Elephas maximus indicus: one gene and its partner. Each later gene encodes a partner of the first gene's protein in a complex. Links are inferred from orthologs where the notes say so. Each region holds a gene or a part of one and is shown on either strand. Other genes may lie near its edges. The genes, in order: WWC1 and DDN.

Evidence for each region.
Region 2: the proteins of WWC1 (region 1) and DDN are in contact, whole or in part, in a crystal structure (PDB 6J69), measured with the Mus musculus proteins. The link is inferred for Elephas maximus indicus from reciprocal best matches to the Homo sapiens genes WWC1 and DDN. Residues at the interface, in NP_740749.1 of Mus musculus: Glu13, Glu14, Ala15, Arg16, Asp17, Tyr23, Ile25, Asp26, His27, Arg30, Thr31, Thr32, Ser33, Trp34; in NP_001013763.1 of Mus musculus: Tyr227, Val228, Ala229, Pro230, Pro231, Ser232, Tyr233, His237, Arg238, Thr239.

Annotation. Positions count from the first base shown.
Region 1 is NC_064820.1:186,547,839-186,559,014, forward strand, and holds the start of WWC1 (protein KIBRA), read left to right. Parts: upstream 1-6,900; 5' UTR 6,901-7,416; coding exon 7,417-7,535; intron 7,536-11,176. UniProt on the Homo sapiens protein: Regulator of the Hippo signaling pathway, also known as the Salvador-Warts-Hippo (SWH) pathway.
Region 2 is NC_064822.1:104,419,444-104,431,229, reverse strand, and holds DDN (dendrin), read left to right. Parts: upstream 1-7,594; coding exon 7,595-7,803; intron 7,804-8,226; coding exon 8,227-10,165; 3' UTR 10,166-11,298; downstream 11,299-11,786. Other genes in the region: PRKAG1 (5'-AMP-activated protein kinase subunit gamma-1), read left to right, coding at 1,510-1,619, 1,817-1,898, 1,994-2,052, 2,193-2,238, 2,392-2,446, 2,790-2,916, 3,022-3,187, 3,344-3,381 and 2 more. UniProt on the Homo sapiens protein: Promotes apoptosis of kidney glomerular podocytes. Podocytes are highly specialized cells essential to the ultrafiltration of blood, resulting in the extraction of urine and the retention of protein.

The DNA of each region.
Region 1 (11,176 bases):
AACGTTTTCCTTACATACTATGTTATGCCAACTGAGCTAGATGTCCTCCAAGATGATGGTCCCCAGCCCTCAGCCCAGTAACTTGGTCCCTCGGGGAGTTCAAGTGTGTCTGTGAAGCTTTTATGACCTTGCCAAGGCTGTAATCTTTATGGAAGCAGACTGCCACATCTTTCTCCCATAGAGTGGCTGGTGGGTTCAAACTGCTGACCTTTCAGTTAGTAACTAAGCATTTAACCATTGTGCCACAAGGGCTCCTTCTTTGGAATCTAGGATATACCACATCTTCAGAGCCTTTGTACCTGCTGTTCCTTTAGCTTGGAATGCATGTTTTTTGGCTCTTCGATTGCCGACCACCTTTGCTCTCTGCTTGAATGTTACCTCTTCAGAAAGGCCTTCTCTTCTGACCCTGTCTAAAGGATATTCTCTATCAATCCCCACAGTATTAAATTCTGTCTAAAGCCCTGTTTGTTTTCTTCATGTTATTTATCAGTGATCTATTCATTTGAAGACTTGTTTATTGTAGGCCTGGTGGTGCAAATGTTATGTGCTCAGCTGATAACCGAAAGGTTGGAGGTTTGGGTCCACCCAGAGGTACACTGGAAGAAAAACCTGATGATCAACTTCTGAAAAACCAGCCATTGAGAACTCCACAGAGCACAGTTCTACTCATACACGTGGGCTCAGAGCCGACTGAATGGCAACCTTTTTCCCCCTATTAAACCACAAGCTTCAGAAACCACCTTTGTATCCCAAGCACTCAACACATTGTCCAGCACACAGTAGGCAGACAAGACAGTCTTGTTGAATCAATGAATAACCAGTTGAGAAGGGAAGCAAAAGAACTATAAAGGGTGCCTCCTATGTTTCAGTAACTGAGCTAAGTACTTTATTTATATGATCTCATTCAGTTGTCACAGGTTGACAGCGAAGTGGGTATTGTTGCTCTCATTTTACACAGAAACTGAGGGTCAGAGAGATGCAATCTCATACTCAAAGTCACACATCAACCAAGATGCAGAGCCAAGTTTTAGATACAGATTTTTTTTTTCTGCACATGTTTCCTCCACTCCATACAGCACCCTGCTGAGGCAGGTTCTTTGGGCCTAAGCCCCAACTCTACACCCTTCTTGCTGCGTAGCCTGTAGCGTTCACTTAGATTGCTCATCTAGAAGGGGGTGAAATTCTGAAGGGGGGAGGTCAAAGAGTGCACAGTGGGCAGGTAAGGTGCATTTCCTCCAATGCATTTCTAAGCATTTGTGCTGGAGTTTAATTTAAGCGCCTCGGTACCATGGCGATGCAAGCTCTATAAATACCCCAGAGAGGTTTCAATTCAGCCAGCCTGCAGGTTACCGCACTTGCACCCCCACCCCTGTTTCCCACCAGGCCTCAGCTTCTGCTGGTGGGGTAGGAGGGTAGAAAAGCACGGCTTTGCAGGAACTACCTCCTCCCACTCCCACTTTCTTTCTCCTCTCCGTACCCGCACCCTTGGAACTGAGATCTCATCTCCACCTCCTCCTTCAGTGCATAATTCATTTCCTAGTTGGTGAAACTTCAAAGACAAAACAGCTCCCAGCCCCCAGTACCCAGAGGACTCTGATGTGAGAGTCAGAAAGAAAGTGGCCGCTCAACCTCTCCTGCCAGCCCCAGGGTGACCTCTTGTCCAGGAGAAATCCAGCTTAGTTGATGAATGTGCCAGAAGGAAAAAAGGTGGAGAAGGAGGAGTCAGGCAACAGAGGGAGAAAAGTGCCCCTCCTTGCATGGACATAGCTCAGCTCCTTGGATCTAAACCCCAGCAGGTCTTATTGACAGCACCAGGAGAGCTGCCGAGGGACAGGTTGGTCCACTGGATTCTTCAGCTCAGAATTCAAATCCCCATCCCAGTGCTGCTCTCTCACTGAAGCTTGGCTATCGCAGGCTTTAGACTGGCTCCCCAACCTCCATGAGCCTTCTCCAACCATTCCAAATAGAAATGTAACCCAAACAAAAGCAAGAGTTCAAGACTAGTCTCCTACCTACTCCTCCACCCCCTTCCAACCAGACTGTTGCCCTGAAGTTCCTCCTTCCTAGGCATTCAGCAATTCTGGCTGTTCACTAGAAAATTAAAAACCCAATGGAAGGAGCTGAGGCTGAACCTTGGCTCTATTTTTTACTGTGTGACTATGGAAAAGTCATTTTGCCTCTCTGGGTCTTCCTTTCCTCGTCTGTAAAATGGGACCGGGAAGAACTGGGGCAGTGAGTCATTGTTTATATAAACTCCAGCTCCCTGTTTGTAAAATGACTAGTCTATGCTTGATTAAAGGGGGCAGTGGTGGTTCAGTGTTAGAATTCTCACCTTCCATGTGGGAGGCCTGGTTCTATTCCTAGCCTATGCGCTTGATCCACAGTCACCACCTGTCTGTCAGTGGACGCTTGCGTGTTACAATGATGCTGAACAGGTTTCTGCAGAGCTTCCAGACTAAGACTAGGAAGAAAGGCCTGGAGACCTACTTCCAAAACTCAGCCAATGAAAACTCTGTGGATCACAATGGTCTGATCCCATTTGTGCATAAAGTCGCCCACCATGAGTTGGAGGCCAACTCAACAGCAGCTAACAACAACATGCTAGATTTACTTTATTTGCCAGCACTGTGTTAAGCCTTGAGGACCCAGAGATGAATAAGAAATGATCTCTACTGCCTGGGTTCTCATATTGCCAAGGTTTCTTCCACCTTAACATCCTCTGGCTTAGGACATTTTCCCATCATTGAAGAAAAACAATTAATGGTGCAGTTATGATCCTCAAATAATGCAGGACTAAAGCGAGGGTACATTGTTGCTCAATCGCTCCCCAAGCTATGTGGGAGAGCCAGCATGAGGTAGGGAGGCACAGGCATGGAGTAGGAAGAAAAATCTCAGCAGAGGTGTCCTGAGCCTCCATTTCCTTGAAGAATGCACATGCTAACAGGAGTGAGCTGCTGCTGACATCTCTGTTCCTTTTTTTAAGCTTAATTTCTCCTCCTTACCACCTCTCTCCATGAAACATACTCGCCTGTTTCCCTGAATTCTCTGAAATGTGTGTGGAAAACAGCCTTTCTTCTTTCCCGTCACCATGGGGAAAGGATTTAAGTGGGACTCTTTCTTAAAAACAAGACAACCTGTCTCAGACGCAGGTGTCTCCCATGGGTCACCTAGATGTGAAAGCAAATGAAGAAAGGGTTAGGCCTGCGGTCACTCCTTCTGCTTGGCTCTAACACTGGCCATGCCCATCTTGTCCAACAGGTGGCCAGCTACAGCCCCAGGAGGAAGGCCCAGAGAGACCTCGGTTTCTTGTCTTCAGATTCCTGAAGTTCAGTCACCTGTGGAATAACGTCCACTCAGCCTATCACATGGCTGAGCTGGCTTTACCCTTTAATCCCTTTCACGTTTGCCCGCAGCCTCCTTGCAGAATGCCTGGGGATGATTCATCCGCCATCACATGGGCAGGCAGTCATCTGTTTTATTACCTCACCCAGCTTGCAGCTTCTGGGAGATAACCTAGGATTCTTTTGTTGTGGGGTGGGGGTGGGAGGTGAGAAGGGTGAACAGATCAAGGCCTTAAGGAGTCAGTATCTACTCCGGTCTCTTCGCAGCCCAGGTCTAAAGGTCTAAAAGAACAAGCCATTTTGAAACGCTAGTGGCTTGCATACCTGGACTAAAAAGAAAGTTGGATTTGGCAGCCTACGAGGTGTTTTCCCTTCTTAGCCAATGCCAACCACTGAGAAAGCTTGGTTGGAAAACAAGATGAAAGCAGCAATGGGGAGGGCTATCACAAGGAGCCATGCACAATTTTCAGGAGGGGAAAGGACATGGCATTGTGTTTTGAACAGGAAACACTTCACTGATCAACATTTAATAGAGGCGTGCGTGCTACCAGGCATGGTAATCCAAACGTACCATAACGGGGCCCTGGAGATGGTAGCTCAAAGTACCAAGCCCTTTACAGCTATCATCTCACTTAGCCATTATAGCAAGCCCTAAGGAGTGGATAGGAGCCCTGGTGGCACAATGGTTAAACACTTAGCTGCTAACCAAAATGTTGGCAGTTTGAACCCACCAGTCATTGAGAGAGAAATGTGACAGTCAGCTTCTATAAAGATTACAGTCTTGGAAGTCCTATGGGGAAGTTCTACTCTGTCCTATAGGGTCATTATGAGTCAGAATATACTTGATGGCAGTGGGCTCAGGGGTGGATATTATCATGTGATTTTTTTTTTTCTCCTCAGACCTAAGACTGAGACTCACCAGCTAGAAAATAGGGCAGGTTTGGGACCTGAACAGTCTGATTTCAGAGCTCTTGCTCTTAGTCAAAGATGTTGAAGCAAATGTCAACAGAGGCATATCTTCTACATCCCAGTTTGGTGAGTAGTGTCTGGGGTCTTAAAAGCTTGCGAGCAGCCATCTAAAGATACAACCATTGGTCTCTACGTGTCTGGAACAAAAGAGAAAGAAGGAAACCTAAGCCTCAAAGAAGAAACTAGTCTACAAGACAAATAGTCTACATGAACTATGGCCTTAGCTAACCTGAGACTAGAAGAACTAGATGGCGCCCGGCTACCACTACCGACCCTTCAAATCAGGGCCGCAATAGATGGATCCTGATGGAATGGGAAAAAAATGTGGAAGAGAACCTCAAATTCCTAAAACAAGGTACAACAAAAACAGATCTCCTGCACTGGTTGAGACTGGAGGGCTCCCTGTTGCCCTGAGATACTCTTCAAAATCTTGAACTGGAATTAACCCCTGAGGTCAGCTTGTGGCTAAATAACAAATTGGCTAAAAAAATAATGAATATCACCCAAAAGCACTGTGCTCCTTTAAAAAAAAAAAAATCACCTATATAACACCAAGCAGTCAGCAATTACTTTAAAACAAAGATGAGAAGGTAAGAGGCAGGGAAGTTCGATTAATGAAAACGGAACCAAAATGGAAATAATGAGAATGCTCACATGTTGTGAAGAATATAACCAATATCACTGAACAACTTGTGTAGAAATTGTTGAAGGGGAACCTAAATTGCTGTGTAAACCTTCACCAAAAATACTATCTAAAAACACACACACACACGTAATTTACAAAAATAATAAAAGGAGTATAGCTTCGTGGTTGAGAGCATGGGCACTGGAGTCAGACACACCTGGCTCAGCACTGCCACTCATTAGTTCTGTATCCCTGGGCAACAACCCAGCCTCTTAGAGCCTCAGTTTTCTCATGGGTATAATAGTATCCCCCACTCTAGAGGGTTGTTATGAGGATTAAATGACATCATGTATGTGAGACACTAAGTATCATGTTGGCTTTACTTTTGGGCTATTACCCAAAACAATAATTGAAAGTTTTTATATACTGAAAACTTATCCCAGGCAGAGAAAATAGACAGCTGTGGGAACCTCTCCTAAAGGAACAGGGAAATCCTAATTTGGGGTGGTTAGGGGCCAGCCTCAGGCCCATGTTCCTGGACTCGTGTGCCTGACACTTAAGGAGGGAAGGAGGGAGGGAAGGAAGGAGGAAGGAAGGGAGAAAGGGAGGAGGGAAAGAAGGAAGGGAGGAAAGGAGGCAAGGTGGCCATAGGCCTGGCTCCAGGGAAATAGCTAACTTAGCAGAAAGGCATTTGGCGGTAAGGAGCTCACCGTAGGGGGGTCTTCCCTATCTAGAGGGGATGAGATCAAAAACATGGGACTCCCTCCTTTGCTCAGCACACCTGGCCCAGGTGGCACAGGCTGCCTGCTCCTCTGGAAGACGTGGGATAAGAGAATCCACCACACCAGGCTTCATTCTTCCAGTCCAGTTTTCCATGATTCCATCGTATGCTCTGGGCCAAAAAAATAAAAAGGTTAAACACATACTTGGAAAACATAGCCATCAAGGGGATGTCCAAGTGCAAAGCTGATCGATCCTAATTCAATCATGCTACTTCTTTTTTACTTTTGTTAATCTCTCAAAAAACATTCTGTCTCTAATTTTCTTTTAGTTCTTTAATTTTCAAAAAAAAAAAAAATTGGACTTTGCTTTCTTTTTTCTTTTGCAAATCCATAACATAATAACTACCTCAAAGGATGACAGGCGACAACAGCATGTGAAGCTGCTAGCCCACAGGCTGGCACAAGGAGGCACTCAATTTAGCTAACAACAATATCATTATTATTACTTTTACAAAGTGTTTCCCTGACACCCTCTGGAACCCTTCCCAGGGGAGGAGATCCAAAGCACTTCTAATTTTAAGGAGACAGAGGAAACCCTGGCGGTGTAGTGGTCAAGAGCTAGGGCTGCTAACCAAAAGATCAGCAGTTAGAATCCACCAGGCCGACTGGAAACCCTATGGGACAGTTCTACTCTGTCCTGTGGGGTCGCTGTGAGTCAGAATTGACTCCACAGCAACGGGTTTGGTTTTCTGGTTAAGGAGACAGAGCTACATTTGCAATACGGGAGTGGGGTGGGGTAGGGACTGAAACTGAGTGGGGAGAAGGACTGAATATGAGGGTGACAGATGGCCATGTTGGGGGAAGGGACCCGAGATCCTGGAAAACTTATGTTCGCTGATTTGCAAGAATGTTTCCGTTTAACCACTTCTTGCCTGACTCCTGAGTCCACAAAGCAAAGAAAGGAGGGAGCTGTGAGATTTGGGGCCACCTGTGCCAAGAGCCTGGACACTCGGGGTGGTGAAAGCCAGGGGCCTTGGGAAGCAGAGGTAAGGCAAGTCTTGCTCTAGCCTCCGGGGGCTCCAGAGTCAGAGTAAGGGGCGTCCTCCCTTTCCCCTGTCAAGAGCAGCGAAGGAGTAGCCGGTGGTTCGGTCTGTCCCACGAGGGGGCGCGTCCCTAGCCCTAGGACCCGCCCTCAAGGCGCTGGGCGCGGGGAGGGGACCCGGGAACCCAGGAGCTCCGCGCTCCGCCTCCCGTTTCCGGGGCAGCGCGGCTACCTGCACCGCCCGGGCCGCACCTGGCGGAGGCAGAAGTCGCAAACCCAGAGAGAGCAGAGCGGCGGAGCCCGGAGGAGGGGACAGTGCCCGGCTCGGGGGAAGAAGCTGCGGCGGCGGGAGGCGGCGGCGGGGAGGGCGCAGCGCGCCGCGCTGCGGAGGAGGGCAGGCAGCTCCGCTAGGCTCGCTCTGCCCTGCCGGCTGGGCGCGCACCCGGGCCCGCACCGAGCTGCTGCCGGCGCACATGGCAGCGTGAGAGGCCGGCAGCGGGAGAAGCGGGTGGCGCCGGGCCGGGGCCGCAGGGACGCATGGACAGCGGCGCCACCCCGGCCGGTCCCCACTAGGGCCCCCCATCTGCGGCCACCCTCCCTCCGATCATGGTGCCTCGGCGGCCGGCCGAGCCAGAGATGGCCGGCCGGAGCCGCTGAGCCGGTGGTCTCCAAGGCGGCCAGGAGTTGCATGGGGGAGCGCGGGTCGCGCTCGGGAAGATGCCCCGGCCGGAGCTGCCCCTGCCGGAGGGCTGGGAGGAGGCGCGCGACTTCGACGGCAAGGTCTACTACATAGACCACACGAGCCGCACCACCAGCTGGATCGACCCGCGGGACAGGTAGGACTCCGGGATGTCCCTCCCTACACCCCGGCACACGCCCCCACCTGCCCCAGGGGCCACCGGCCGGGACTGGGTAGAGGGACACGCTTCTTAGAGTCTGCCCTGGAGCCGGGGGGGCAGCGGAGTTCTGCAAGCCTAAACCCCTTTCTTCAGATTGCCCCTGAGCCCGTTCTGGAGCGCCGCTCCTGCCCTGGTGGGCTGCTGGGAGGAGGGGACGGCCAGTGAGCTGGCCCAGGCTGCCCCCACCGCCACCACCAGATGGAAGTCTTAGGCCCCAACCGGCACCTGCTCGGAGTTTTGACCTTAAACTGTAGCCCCGCCCCGTGCCCCCTTTAGTAGAAGAGGTTGGGCGGGGGCGGGAGAGCTACTTAGCAGATTGAGGCTGGGGCTTCCCGGGGAGGCTTTCCCCAGCATCTGGGGGGATGGGAAGCATCTGGTTTAGAGGGGGTGGTAGTGACCCAGGATTCAGTGGGAGACTGCTGGAGGAGGGGAAGGCTGCTTGGAGTGTGCATTTTGGCAGGTGCTCCTGAGAAGAGTAGGGAGCAGCCAGGGGGCCTGGAGGCCGAGGATGGAAAGGGAAGGAAGGAGCTAGGGAGGGCAGATCAGGGAGACTAGTTCTCCCTCACTGCAACTTGGAAGCTGTTAGGACGTTGATGGAGGTGAGAGGCTTCCGGGAAAGGCCAGCCCATCACCTCTTTCTCCTCCGTTTCTTCCCTCTGGGAACCTTGGCTCCTCAGCCCTGCACCAGCTCGTCCTGACCTTGGTGGGCACCAGGCTGGCTGTAGCACAGCTTTTTTTTTTTTTTGCTGAGGCAGATGGAGTCTGGATGGCTCTGTCGCTTAGCTCTCCAGACTTTCTTCTGGTTTTGACTGCTGGGCATTTTATTGCATACTCTTTCCCCCTTCCCATGTATGTCCTAGAGGACACCCACAGAGTCCACTTTGTTGTCCTTTGCTGATATGGTCTGTAGAGAGTTCAGAGTGTCTCAGGAATGTATAACTTTTACCTGGTCAGTGTGACCTTGGGGGTCAGGTGCCTGTAAAGCAGCCAGTGTTAGTTATTTGGATTCTTCTTGTGGACCCCAGAGGTCCAGGGTGGAGTGTGTAGAAAGTAGTGAGTTAAAAAGAGGAAAATGTGGATTGAGATTCCCAGTAGTTTCTGCAAGCACTTCCATTCGTTCATTCATTCATTCATTCATTCATTCATTCATTCATCGGATGCCTTCTCTTTGCTCCACAGCTTGCTGCATGTCTCATTACTGTATAACCTGGAAGAAAATGTTTAATGCTGGGAAGAGTTGCTTTAGCCTCTGATTCTCAATTTCCCTATTTGTCAGATTAATAGTTTGCTTAGAAGGGAAGGAGCAATAGTGGGAATCTTAAGAGCTGGAAGGGATGGGACAATTTGAAGGCCCAGTGGTGTGATTTGCTCAAATATTTTGATCTTTCCACCACTCTGCAAACACCAAGTTCTTTACCAGCTCAAAAGTTCCTCCAAGTATGCGGTCCTCACACACTTCTCTTCCCTGAGCCCCTCAGGATCAGTTGCCACCAGGGGCTCTGTTACCGCTTTGGTGAGCTGAGCAGTCTTTCCTTGGCCCCATTTTCCTTGTCCTCTCATAGGAAACCCTGGTGGTGGAGTGGTTAAGAGCTGTGGCTGCTAACCAAAAGGTTAGCAGTTCAAATCCACCAGGAGCTACTTGGAAACCCTGTAGGGCAGTTCTGCTCTGTCCTTCAGGGCCTAGGAGTTGAAATCAACTCTATGGCAATGGGTTTGCTTCCCCCCCTACCCCCCGCCCTAGGATAGAGACAAGTTCAAGTTTACATATCCTCCTCAGAACTTGGGCCACTGAGTTAGAAGTTGGAGGTCTGAGGACCACACCCAGCACTGCTAACTTGCCCCAAGTCATGCGACTCTGAGAGGATAGCAGAAGGTCTGGAAGCTTCCCAAACAACAATAGTTCTTGTCCCTCGGAAGAGGGCAGGTGTGTAGCTTCTGTGGAAAACTGACTTGGCTAGAGCAGTTGGGACTACCTTCATGGTTTTTTGCTGTGTTCACATGCCACTTCTGCTATTGTTTACTTAATATCTGGCATTAAATCAACTCATAAAATTTTTGTACCACTTTCACAAATGAGAAACATAGTGTCTATTGCCATAATAGAAGGTCACCTTAAAAAGTACAGTGAAGATAAAACAAACTAGTGCCATTATATTTTATCTAGATACTGTTGCCTGCTCAGCCTTTTTTTTTTTTTCTCCCAGCAGATTGGCAAGCATTGGAGAGGAGTTAAAGATACATTGGCACCTAAGTGGCACCTTCCTCATTTTGCAATTTAGTGTCTGTGTTTTTTTGTTGCTGTTGTTTGTTTCTTTTTTTTTTTTTTTATTTCTGCATCTTCGCACATCCTAGTCATCCCAACCACACAGGGCTCGTGGGAGGGCCCTGAGTTTGGGGTGCTGGGGAGTTTTGAAATCAACCCTGGGGATCACTGTCGTGGTAGACCAACTTTGAAAGTTTGGGGAAAGAGCTGATCAGAGGGCATCCACTGTGGGTCTTTGGAATTTCCATCTTGCCCAGTGTGTTAGGCAGTGTGGACAGCTGGCTGCGTGGCCTCGGGCAAATTGCTTGACCTCTCTGAGGCACAGGTTCTCCACTGAGGAGATAATTGATTAGATGCTCTCCAAGGACCCTGCCAGTTCTCGGATATAAGACCCCTCTGCCTCTCCTTAACCCTCCTGCCTCCATAGCAAGATGGGGGGTTGGAGTGGGTAGGATGGGGATGGGGCCATGAGAAGGAGAAGGGAGAGATTTAACAACAGCCAATTTAACAGCCAAATTTTTTGGGGGGGAGGGGAAACAAAACCTGTTGCCATCAAGTTGATTCAGACTCACAGTGACCCTGCAGGACAGAGTGTTAAATTTTGCCTAGATAATTACATCTCTGGGACTAGTTAATGCTAAGAAACAAAAAACTTTGAAAACATTCTGCTCATCAGCCGTGTGTGTGTGTGTGTGTGTGTGTGTTCTGCTCATCAACCGTGTGTGTGTGTGTGTGTGTGTGTCTCAGCTTTTTCCTTACCTGAATGAAGGAGATACCCACCCATTCCCCTGAATTTAAAAGAACTCAGTCAAATGGTTATTCAGTCAGGAAAGTGATTTCTTAGCCACTGAAGACAAAATAGCGTCTCCGGTTACCAACCCTAAAGAATGTCTTGGCACATTCCTGCCCCTGGGGCTGAGCTGTTCTGTGTGCTGTCCGGAGTGGAGGCTGCTGGGGGTAGGGAATCCAGTTTTCAGCTTCCTTTTCACCAGGGGGTTCGAAGAGCTGCCAGGCAGCCTGCCTTGCCAACTCTCTCCCCTTCTCACCAAGGGGACGACTGGGAGGCCAAAATTCCAGAGGACGGTCGTCCCAACAACCAGAGAGAGTCCAGTGGGCAGCTTGGGGCATGCCCACTGGGCCAAAGGCTCCGGCAGCACCTCAGGCTCTTACCGAGGCGTGGCCAGTCTGGGAAGGTGACAAGTCCTTTGGGAACCAGGGGCACAGCCCCTCAGAGTAGTGCTCTTTTTCAGAATAACTCCAGGTGCTGCTGGGAGCACCCAGCAAAGGGCCAGCGTTCCGTGTGTGTTTAGCCTAG
Region 2 (11,786 bases), on another chromosome or scaffold:
GGTAGCAACAAAGTAACCATCTAAGAATCAAAAGTTATACTTCCCACATCCCTTCATTGTTTCTCTTACAAAGCCCCATGCTTCCAGGAGTCTGGAGCTATTGCAACGAATCCTCCATCTGATGCCAGCTGTAAAAATGGTGTGGAGGAGGCATCTGACTTCAGAGGGGAAGGAGACAGAATCATTATCAGCACCAACAGCCCAGAGCTGATCCCTGTGGGGTGGAGGTCAGTCACACAGACATACCTCCACCCTCCAACCTTTTTACCAGTTCTGACACCAGCCATCCCTCCCACCTCTACTTCTCTCCTGGGTTCGATAAATCATTGTAGTGGCCATAAAGAACTCACAGACCATACTCATAGGTATGGGATTCATTAGGGAAGTAACAGGGTACAACTCAGGATCAGAAACACTCATGATACAGTTCTTTGATCAGGACAGCTTCTTCTCAGCCATGCCTGCAGGCAGGCCTCTCTTTGACCTCTTGGCCTTGCCTTTGCCCTGTTGGGGCAAGTGTTATGAGGCTCCTAGCTCCGTGGGTCGGCAGCCCCACTGCAGCTGGCTCACGCTAGTCTCTTGGTTCCTGCAGTCTCATGCCACTGTCACTCTTGCTATTGCTACACCACCATCTCTGTCTTCTGTGTTACAGCTCCTCCTTCTCTCTCTCCATGTCTCCCTTTAAGCCTAGTGGGATGGCAAAACTGACCAATCCCCTTGTTAGGGTTCCATATATCTTATTTGCATGGTCCTAAACCCACAAGGATGTCATACATCTTATTTGCATTATTAGCAAGCTGTCCAATCCTTGGTGGGCCACAAGCACCTCATTTGCATAGTCCCACCCAATCATTTGGTGAGAGTTATAAGACCATGGCAAAAAAGGCCACATAAATGTGATCCATCACACCGCAAAAGATAAATATCACCCAGGACCTCTAATTTGTCTAGAGTAGGCAGAATGAATTCTGATCCACAGGGTGATCCCAGCATGGACTTTCAGGGTGTTTGGGGCCAGGCTGATTGAGCACTGGGCTCAAACTTAGCGTTGATCAGAAACAGCCCAGCTTGGACCATGACTTTAACAGCTGCAGATCTTGGAAGAATTTTAAGAAGCTTACTTAGTTTTTCATCTTTATTAAGAATAGAGAACAAGTGAAAATGTGCTAAATGTATGAAATACACATCATGGTTTAAGACGAGAAAAAGCTTTTAGATAGGACAGGCTAAGGAGAAATATTATAGACTTTGTTTTAGTCAGCCATCGTTTGCCTAAGAAATCAATAGATACCATCCTACTTGGAGGCAGAAGTTGGATGAAATGGCTTCTAAGGGATTTATCCTGATTTTGTGAGAACAAGAAGAACAAAACAGATACAATAACCCAGCTAAACAAAAGGAGACCTTAGTAAAAAACCATAGTCTATTACAACACTGTTTTGTTTTCTGCCTCTTTTGATTGGGAGTTGTTTCATGGAAGGAAGCTACTAACTATCCCACCCTATGCAGAAACCCCAGAATCCAACAATAGCGTGTATACTTCCTTCATGAAGTCTCATCGCTGCTATGACCTGATTCCCACAAGCTCCAAATTGGTTGTATTTGATACTTCCCTGCAGGTGGGTGAACTGTTTTCCCTTACCCCTTCTTTGGAGCCTCTGGTACAATACCTCTCATCCTATCTCATCCCGTGGGTAATAGTCTTTTCCGTCTATGGGGTTAGTCTCCTATCTTCCCCAACATACCCAACCCCTATTCTTTTAAAGTCCTGCCTCCTGTGAATTTCCCTTTGTGATTATTATGCTTTTGGCTACAGGTGAAGAAAGCTTTCTTTGCCTTGGTGACTAATGGTGTACGAGCTGCCCCTTTGTGGGACAGTAAGAAGCAAAGTTTTGTGGGTAAGAAAAAGTTTCTGGAATACAATATTGGCATCTTGTGCTGGGCAGGGAGAGAAGCTTTGGGCAGTGCTGAGGGCTCTTATTTTGGCCTCTAGGCATGCTGACCATCACTGATTTCATCAATATCCTGCACCGATACTATAAATCAGCCTTGGTAAGGAATCCTAACCCAGTGGCCAAAACCACTTTCCCTGCCAAAAGCCCCTCATTCTCATTTCCTTTCCTCCAAGCAAGCCACAAGAAGTTAATGAAGCAGGGAGATCAGGCCTCAAATTCTGCTGCATCTGCTTCTAGGTGCAGATCTATGAGCTAGAAGAGCACAAGATAGAAACTTGGAGAGGTATGTAGAGGAGTGGGGGTTGTGGAAGGATGACGGGTTTGTGGAAGGATGATGGGCTGGAGAGTTCCTGGGACATGGTTTACCATGGTGGTGCGCGCGCGCGCGCGCGCACGCGCGCGTGTGTGTGTGTGAAAATTGTATTTTTCCCCTCAGAGGTATACCTACAGGACTCCTTTAAACCACTTGTCTGCATTTCTCCTAATGCCAGGTGAGTTCCAGCTACCCATCTGTCCAGAAGGGGAAGAGCCATGCCATCAGCATACCTAAAGCCCTAAAACAAAAAAACAAAAAAAAAACACTGCCGTCCTAAAAAAAAAAAAAACTTTTAGACAGCCAAAAATCCAGGGAAAGGGGCTAAAGAGAGAAAAGGCACTCCTCCCAAATATATATACACACACACACACACTCACAATCTTTAGGTCTGGTCTAAACACTGTCTCTCCAAACCCCAAACACCAGTTTTCCCTGTTTATCAACGTACGCTAAGGAGACAGTTAACCACCCTCGCCCCAGTACTGTGGAACTGATCATCATCTCCCACCTTCGCACAGCTTGTTTGATGCTGTCTCTTCATTAATTCGAAACAAGATCCACAGGCTGCCAGTTATTGACCCAGAATCAGGCAACACCTTGTACATCCTCACCCACAAGCGTATCCTCAAGTTCCTCAAATTGTTCGTAAGTGCTCCTCAGCCCCGTTCTTACTTCATAAATACTGGGGTGGAAAGGTGCCTGAGGGTGGTTTGGGGACCTGGAGAATCAAGCTGATGGCTCTTTCCTCAGATCGCTGAGTTTCCCAAGCCAGAGTTCATGTGTAAGTCTCTGGAAGAACTGCAGATTGGCACTTATGCCAACATTGCCATGGTCCGTACCACCACCCCCGTCTATGTGGCTCTGGGCATCTTTGTACAGCACCGAGTTTCTGCTCTGCCAGTGGTGGATGAGAAAGGTGCGAGATTGGGCAGAAGGAGGGAGGGCTCCTGGGAAGTCAGAGTGCCTCAGGGGAAATCTGCTCCCCTCTCACCTCAGCCAGGAGAGTGATTCTATGGGCAGGGGGAGCCTTAGATACCAGATCCTCCTTACTGAGCTGCCTCTGTCCCCGTAGGGCGTGTGGTGGACATCTACTCCAAGTTTGATGTTATCGTGAGTGATTATGGAGGGGCTGGGAGGTAGGGAAAAGGGGAGGGGGATGAGATGGGGTACTGAATGTACTGAGGGAGAAGGGAGAAACTTCCAAGCTTTCAAACCCCATTGGAAAAGGAATTGATAAACTGGGTGTGACTTGGGGGCATGACTGACAACTGCCCTAAGTCCCTCTGGTGAGGTTGGGTGGGCTGAGGTTTGGGGATTGGCTCCCTTCCCCATAAGCTCCTTCCTCTTTCTCCCTAGAATTTGGCTGCAGAAAAGACCTATAACAACCTAGATGTCTCTGTAACCAAAGCCTTGCAACATCGATCACACTATTTTGAGGGTGTCCTCAAGTGCTACCTACATGAGACTCTGGAGACCATCATCAATAGGCTGGTGGAAGCAGAGGTAGGGAGGGCAGAGACCCTAAAAGAGGGAGATGGGGGGGCAAATGGCAAGAGACCTGAGGCCTCAGAGTAGGGTTTGGGAAGCTGGGTAGGGTGTAAAAGGTTCACCCTAACTGAGGTTGGCACTGAACACCCCCTTCTTCCTTGTTGCTCTGTGCCAGGTTCACCGACTTGTGGTGGTGGATGAGAATGATGTGGTCAAGGGAATTGTATCTCTGTCTGACATCCTGCAGGCCCTGGTGCTCACAGGTGGAGAGAAGAAGCCCTGAGCTGGGGGAAGGTGTCAGGCAGCAGTAGGGGATATGCCCCTCTCACTGCCTGCCAGCAGCTCTGGAAATCACAGATGAAACCTTGAGAGAACTGTGACTCTGTTCCCTGCACAGGAGCCCCCTACCCTACTACCTGGGGGCCAAGGGAGTTGGAGGAGGAAGGAGAATAGATTTTTAGCTGCCCTTCCCCTCACACATGTGCGCAAGAAGATTTTAGCCCAGCCCATCTCAGCCCCTGTCCTCTTAGATGTAGCTCTCTTTGTGGGTCAGCAATGGGTTCTGTGCCCACCCTCAGGCAGATTCTGATCTCTGAGAGATCCCTAGACCTCACCCTGCCTTTGCCTCTATTCCTGCCCCTTACTTCACCCTAAGATAATAGCACAGCAACAGTCTTCATAAAGATGTTTTTATTCATCCTATTTCATGCTGTATGGGGGAGGCTGAGTCCAGTTAGTGACATTTATTCCCATAATGGAAGTGGAGAGGATCATGGGGAGGAGGGCTGTTGGGTTCCTGTGCTGTTTTTATATGAAGGCAGATGGGGGTTAAGTGGAGGATGGAGTGGTTAGCCTAAGTTATTGCTTTTCGTGGCAAACCTAATTAAAATGACAGGAACCTCTTCGTGGCATTGCGGTGTTTGATTTTTGCAGCTGATACATTCTACTGCTCCAACCCTCCTCCTTTATATGGCTTCTTCAACTCATCGTTAATAACAATAATATACATTTATGTTTATGTGTGTATGTATAACTTACTGTGTGCCGGGCACCATTGTCAGTGCTTTGCCTTACATATATTTATTTAGTCCTCAGATCAACAGTAGATACTATCGCTATTCCAGTTTTATAGATTTAAAAAAAAACTGAGGCACAGGAAAGTTAAGTAACTTGGCCAAAGTCACACAGCTAGGATTTGATCTCAAATAGTCTGGCTCCAGAGTTCATGCTCTTCACCACTACACTGGACTTTCTGCCTGTCTAATTCTCCTTTAATAGCTGTTCCTTGCTCAATTCCCTACTGCCCTCCTTATTGTCTAACTTTCCCCTTTGCCTGGACCATAGCTGGGACCCAAGGAGAAGCCCATGACAATGTTAGGTTGCCACAGAGTAGAAATGCTGATGCAGAGAGACCTGCCACTGCCATCAACTTTTCCCAGTCAGGGAAGCTAGGCTGTGTTTGGATTCTGCTGATCCGTTACTATCTTTGAAACTACAAATCCCTTGCCTGTCTTCCAAGGTGAGAATGAGCTGGAGAACGGAGGGAAGGGAGGAGCAGGACTATGGTCGGACCCATTCTCTGTGCTGAAATTGTGGACCAATACAGTAGGCAGCACTAAGCACCATAAGGAATGCTAGTTGGGTATGAGCCAAATTCTGGGTATCATTTAACCTCTGCTGTGCAGGTATGATACAATTTCCCATCCAAGAACAGAAGCAATTGCAGAGTAACTCCTTGCCCTACCTGCACTATGCCTAACTAAGCCTTCTAATGAACCCCAGCCCTACCATGCTGGTTTCCCCAAACCAGGCTTCCTGATGGGACATGGGAAAGCATCAAGGCACTTGTCAGAGCTCAGCTGTCAGTGCTGCATGGGGGGTATGGAGAAGTCCTCTGCCTCTGCGTTCACCTCTTCACACGCCTCACAGCACATTCCCAAACTTGGGGGAGGGAGGCTTTCAAGTAATTAGAATTGGGGTATGTTTATGTGTGTGTGGGTGGGTGCATGGTGGAAAGGACAGATGTCTCTATGTCACATTCCATCATGAAGGAGGGTTTGTCTAGGGAGGAGGCAAGGACTTTAAAAAGCCTTAGGACTCTTGGTGGGACCTGGGGTGGAAGGAAGCACCTTCAAAGCAAGAGTCATCTGCAGCTGGTAAGTACATGGATTCAGGGGGGATAAAGTGGATGGGACAGGGGTGTTTGGGTTCTCTCTAAAGGCCCATGTTAAGGAGCAGGAGGCCTAAGCTCCCACTAAGTCAGTCTTTGCCCCACAACAACCCTTCTGGTCCCATCCCCTTAAAAAAAGGGTCTGTATCCAAAGGACTGCAGATACTTTAGTGGAGAACAAAATGGGGTCTCTCGCTCTTCCCATTCCCCCCCAAAAACCAACCAGCCAGTCTCAGAGTCTGAGGATGGAGCAGAGGGAAAGACAATAAAATTTGGGAGCTTCATAGCCTTCTATTCTTACCTAGTCCTCTCAGGATAGAGAAATTGTCCCTTCTTCCTCAGGAGCCATTGCCATACACATTCTTCCCCCCACCTCCCTCCCGCCCCTCCACTGGAGCTGCTGCCATGGTTTCCAGGCATGGTTGCTAAGTCTCTGCATGTAAGGGTTGGCGTGGGCTGTGCTGCCACTAACATTGCCATGGTGAATCAGGGGACACCTGATATAGGCTTGGGGGGAGGGATCATGTGGATGGATGTAAGCAACAACCCCCCCAGGACAGAATGAGCCTAAGAGGTGAGCATCTTGAGTATCACTTCAGGTGGGGGCTGAGTGAGCTAGGCATTGTGGTGGTGGTGAGGGGAAGCTCTATACTGGGAAACTGGTTGCTTTTATCATTGCAGTTGCTAAGGGATTGGTTGTGCCAAGGGAGCACACCATTCCTCCTCCATCCCTTCTGAAAGGGTCCTCCATAAGGCTGGGCAGAGCTTTGTGGGCATAGAAGAGGGTGACCCCAACATTCTGGCTTCTGGGCTGGGGGAGAGAGCCTGCTGCTGGGAGAAGGCTTCACGGGTGCCCAAGGACAAATACCTAGAATGGGAGTGGTGGCGCAGTTTCAGTGGCCAAGCCAGACTCGTGTGCCCCACTGTGCCAGCAGCTCTGTGTTTCAGCACCAGGGTGAGACGTTAAGGATGTGGGGGTCGCCCTCTTTGAGCCTGGGAGAAGGATCTCCCCCCCCCCCCCAGTCATACAAAAGCTGCCTGAAAGCCACCGCCTCTTCCCTCCCTCCTGGAAGCTGGTTACTCATCTCTGCACCCGAAGGCCACTGCCGCTAAAAATAGGCCCCCAGCCGTGGGCCAGCCCCTCCTGCACCCCAACCCCATGGAAACCAGCAAAGTGGCAGGCAAAGACCTTGAGTTCCATTCCCACCACCACTCTCGGTCCGAGAAACTGATGTCCAGGCAGGAAGTAAAGGGCTGCTGAACCCTGGGGGTCAGGCAACCTGACAAGCAGGAGAATGAAGAGTTAAAACGGCGGGAAGGTTGGAGAAATGGGTGTGGGGGAGGGGGGGCAGTCAGCTTGGCAAAGAAGTCCCCCCGCACACTCGTGCGGGTCCCATCAGGCTTGGGGGACAAGAGCAGTGGGAAGGGGCGTCCAATCCCGGGCCCCAGGGGGCGGCCGTGCACATGGGGGAGGTAGCAGCGCGGAGCCGTCCGCGCCGTGTCACATGCGCGCGCACACACACAGACAGGCACACACGTGTGCCCGGGTATATATAGTCCCCAGTCCCTGGGCCCGCCGCTCTGCAGTGGGCGCCGGCTCCCTGGGCTGGGAGGGGGCTCTCGGGGCGGGTGGGAGGGTGGGGGGCCGGGGTGGGGTGGGGCAGGATGCTGGATGGCCCGTTATTCTCCGAGGGGCGGGATAGCCCCCGGGAGCTCCAGGATGAGGAGTCTGGTAGCCGTCTCTGGGTGCAGAAGTCCAAGCTGCTGGTGATTGAAGTGAAGACTATTTCTTGTCATTATAGTCGCCGCGCCCCTTCTGGACAACCCATGGATTCCCAGACCAGCCACTGGGCCCGCTGGACCCAGAGCCGCACGTGAGTGAAGGAGGGACCAGGGAAGAGAGTGGAGTGGTGGGGGAGGGGTGGGGTCTGCACCCCCCTGCCCGAAGGCACCAGCGAGCGCTGCTGGGCTCGCCTTGCCTTTCCCACGCCTCCTTCCCCCACCCCACCCCGAGGGCTGGGACCTGACTCCTTCAGTGTTGTTTTGGGGGAACAGGAGTGGGCGTGAGAAAGGGCAGGAGGTGAGATGGGGCAGAGGCTGGTAAAGAGTGCATGGAGAGATGGTGAGGAGTCCCGCTTCGACTTCAGCCCTAACATATACGCACGTGCACACGCGCACACACTCACACACACCCCTCCACACTGCGGCCCCAAGTGGCCTCCAGTGCTCCCGGTTCCCCCGACCTCGGCTCCCCTCCGCTACAAACTGCTCACCTGGGTTCCTGCTCATTGTCCCAGGTGTGGGCCGCGTCCGGGATCCCCTGAGCCGCCGCCCCGCCGGCTCTGGGCCTCCAGGGTGCTGCAGGAGGCGACCAACTGGCGGGGGGGGCACCCGGCCGAGGCCCGAGCCCGGGAGCAAGAGAAAAGGAAAGCGGCGTCGCAGGAGCGGGAGGCCAAGGAGACCGAAAGAAAAAGGCGCAAGGCTGGTGGGGCCCGAAGGAGCCCCCCGGGTAGGCCCCGCCCAGAGCCCCGGAACGCCCCTCGGGTGGCCCACCCTGCAGGGCTCCCAGCTTCCTCCCGGCCAGAGCGCTTTGTGCCGTTGGGACGGGCGCCCCGTCCATCCGCACAGCCTCAGAGCATACTAGGCGCGGCGTGGCCAGGGCCCTGGGGAGGTCGGCGGCCCGGGCCTCCCAGCTACGAGGCTCACCTGCTGCTGCGAGGCGCTGCCGGGACCGCCCCGCGACGCCGCTGGGATCGGCCGCCACCCTACGTGCCTCCACCTTCTTACGATGGCCCCCACAGGACCCTGGGGACTAAGCGAGGCCCCGAGCTCACCCAGGCGCCCGCCTCCCCAGACCCAGCTCCAACCCCGGCCAGGACCGAGACAGGGCGCGCAAAGAAGAGGCTGGATCCTCGTATTTACCGGGACGTCCTCGGGGCTTGGGGTCTCAGACAGGGGCGGGGTCTCTTGGGAGGCTCCCCAGGCTGTGGAGTGGCTAGAGCTAGATCGGAGTTCGGCAAGGGGGCCGCGGAGAGAAGCCTGGGGCTCGCTGTTGCTGGCCTGAGCAACGGTAGTGACAGCCATTCAGCAGCCAAAGCTCCAGGGAGCCCGGGCGCCAAGACAGTTCCTACAGGGCCTGCAACTGCTACTCCTAGTCCCCCGCGCCCCGCCCCCAGGTCCAGGCCCCACCTCAAGGGCTCCAGGGAAGGGAAAGAAAATGTAGAACAGAGCTGGCTCCTCAAACGCTGGATTTCCTCCCCCAAAAAGCAGCCGCCCCGACATAGCCAAACCCTCCCCAGACCCTGGGCTCCAGGAGGCACGGGATGGAAAGAGTACCTGGGTCACAGAGAGGAGGCAGAAACCGAGACCCTGAAGGGATGGAAGGTGACCCGCCGCGCCCACACCCTGCCCCGCAGTTCCCGCCGCCCCACTTGTGGAGAAGGCGTCTTTGTCATTGACGCCACTTGCGTGGTGATTCGGTCCCAGTATGTTCCGACTCCCCAAACCCAGCACATGCGGCTTTTGCCCTCCGGGGTGCCGCGCGTGGGGGGAGATGCCCCTAGTCGACTGCAGTGCGGCAAGGAGGAGGGCGAGGGTCCCGCGGCCTTTCCTTCCCCTTGCCAAAAGCTACTGTCGAGCAGCGGCCTTTCACACCAGCCCAGCGCGGGGCGCGGGAGCGAAGCTGAGGGCGGGGAGCCGGAGGATTCCTCGCTGCAGGAGCGGGCCTCCCGTATCTTGGGGCTTCCTGTCAGCGAAGTGAACCTGCGGGACGTCCCCAGGCAGCCAGGTAGCCCAGAGCACCTGGCCTTAGGCCCAGCGGCTTCGGGAAGCGTGGGCAGCGCCGAGGGCTCGAAGGAAGTGACAGCGGTCCCGCGGCGCGTGGGTCGCAGTTGGGCGCGGACCCCGGGGCCCTACGCTGGGGCCCTGCGGGAAGCCGTGTCCCGCATCCGCCGCCACACCGCCCCGGACTCGGACTCGGACGAAGCTGCGGAACTCAGCGTGCATAGCGGCTCCTCTGACGGAAGCGACACAGAAGCCTCGGGCACCTTCTGGCGAAGTGAGCAGACCCAGCCCGGGGTTGGGGGCCCCACGGCGGAGCCCCGGGAGGGCGGGAAGAGAGTAGAGCTAAACGGCAGTATCCGGGAGATTCTGGGTGTCATAAGCCGAACGGAGGAGGCCCTCTTCCGTGTGGGGGACAGTAAGAGGACCCCACAAGGAAATAGGGAGCAACAATGAGAAACCCCCATCTTGGAGTTGTGCCCCTCAACCCATCCTTGGGCCCCCCATTCTTTTCTTTCCCACACTCTTGCTTCTTTTGTCCCTGTACCCCTACCCCTTCCCATTCCCATACCTGAAGCAGAAGCTGCCCAAATGAAAAGAACAGGGGCCATCTGCACATTCATTTATTTATTTTTCAGGAGTGGTGAGGATGAGCGGTAGACTTTAATCTTGCCACATCTAGGGCACATGAGTGAGAAGGTCATGGATCTTCAGCAAGGGCTGATGCACTGTTGTGGAGCTGAGCAGAGAAGCCTAGCCAGGATCAGTTATGAGAGTGGGGATGGTGGCAGTCACAGGAAGGCAGGGCCCTGGGCAGGAGGGAGAAAGTGATGGGAAGACCTGAGAGCACTGGGTGACCCTGTGACAGAGGGGCTGTTGGTAGAAGAGGAAAGGCTCTAGAAGCAGCCAGCAAAGCAGAAAGAGTGCTCACTTTGTGTCCCGTGCCTTTGGTTTCAATCCCAACTCTGCCACTGACTTGCTAGGTGACCTTAGGCCAGTCACTCTCCCTCTCCAGGCCTCCAGACCACCTGGTATGTAAAATGAGGGAGTTTTAAGGTTCATGGTTTTATCTCTGACATTTTGGGATCTTTGGGGAGGCTTCTATCTCATATTCCCCTCCACAAACCAAGGGAGAGAGTTGAGAAGAGTCTAAGCATCCCTTGGTGGCCTCCATTTCACCTGATATCACCCTCCGTTGAGGAGACTGTCCAGTGTTTGTAAGAGAGCTGAGGAGTAGGCAAAGGGCTCCTATCCTAGTCTTCCGGCATTAGGTGAGGGCTTCCCACTCCAGTTCTGTGACTGTCCCTGGCCTGTGGTGGTCTGAACTGGGGAAGGAAGGCAGCCAGTGATAAAGCTTGGAACCTCTACTAGGCCTTCTCTTTTTCCTCCTCCCCAACGTTCCTTATTTCTGCTGTGGAACGTTGCCACGACTTCCCAGGTGGTATCGCCCACCTGAAAGAACCCTGAGAATTTCCCTAATTTCTGCCTCTGACAGAAATCCTCGAGGCAAGGAAGAGGGAGGTTGGTCCCAAGGAGCCTGAAGGTGTGGGGTGTGATACTCGCCATAGCCACTGCGGGGCGCGCGCAGGTCGCGGATTTCCCCGGTTGCTAGTTTCCGAGTCCCCCACTACCCGGCACTGCCAGTTAATCCATTGATAGCTTACCTAGTTACCGCGCGCCTGTCCCGCGCCTTGCAGCCTGCAGCCGTGCGGGGCCAGGAGCAGGCCTTTGAGAGCGCGCCGAGCCCCTCCTGTTCTCATCCACGCCAAGCGGCTTGGGACCCAGACACTGAAGTCCCTTTTCTCGCCGATCCTGGACGCCTCCTCCGTCTCAGCCATTTACTAGCCATGTGAACTTGGCCAAATCACTTCACCTCCTTGAGCCTCAGTTTCCTCATCTGTCAAATGAGGATTTATAAACACCTACCTCGCAGGGTTGTTGTGAGGATTTAATGAGATAATGTATGTAAAGCGCCTAGCACAGTGCCTGGCACACAGTAGGCGCTCAATAAATCTAAGCTTCCCTTTGCTCCAGACTTGGCACCTTCTTCCTTACACCGACCCTTTCCCTGTAGCGC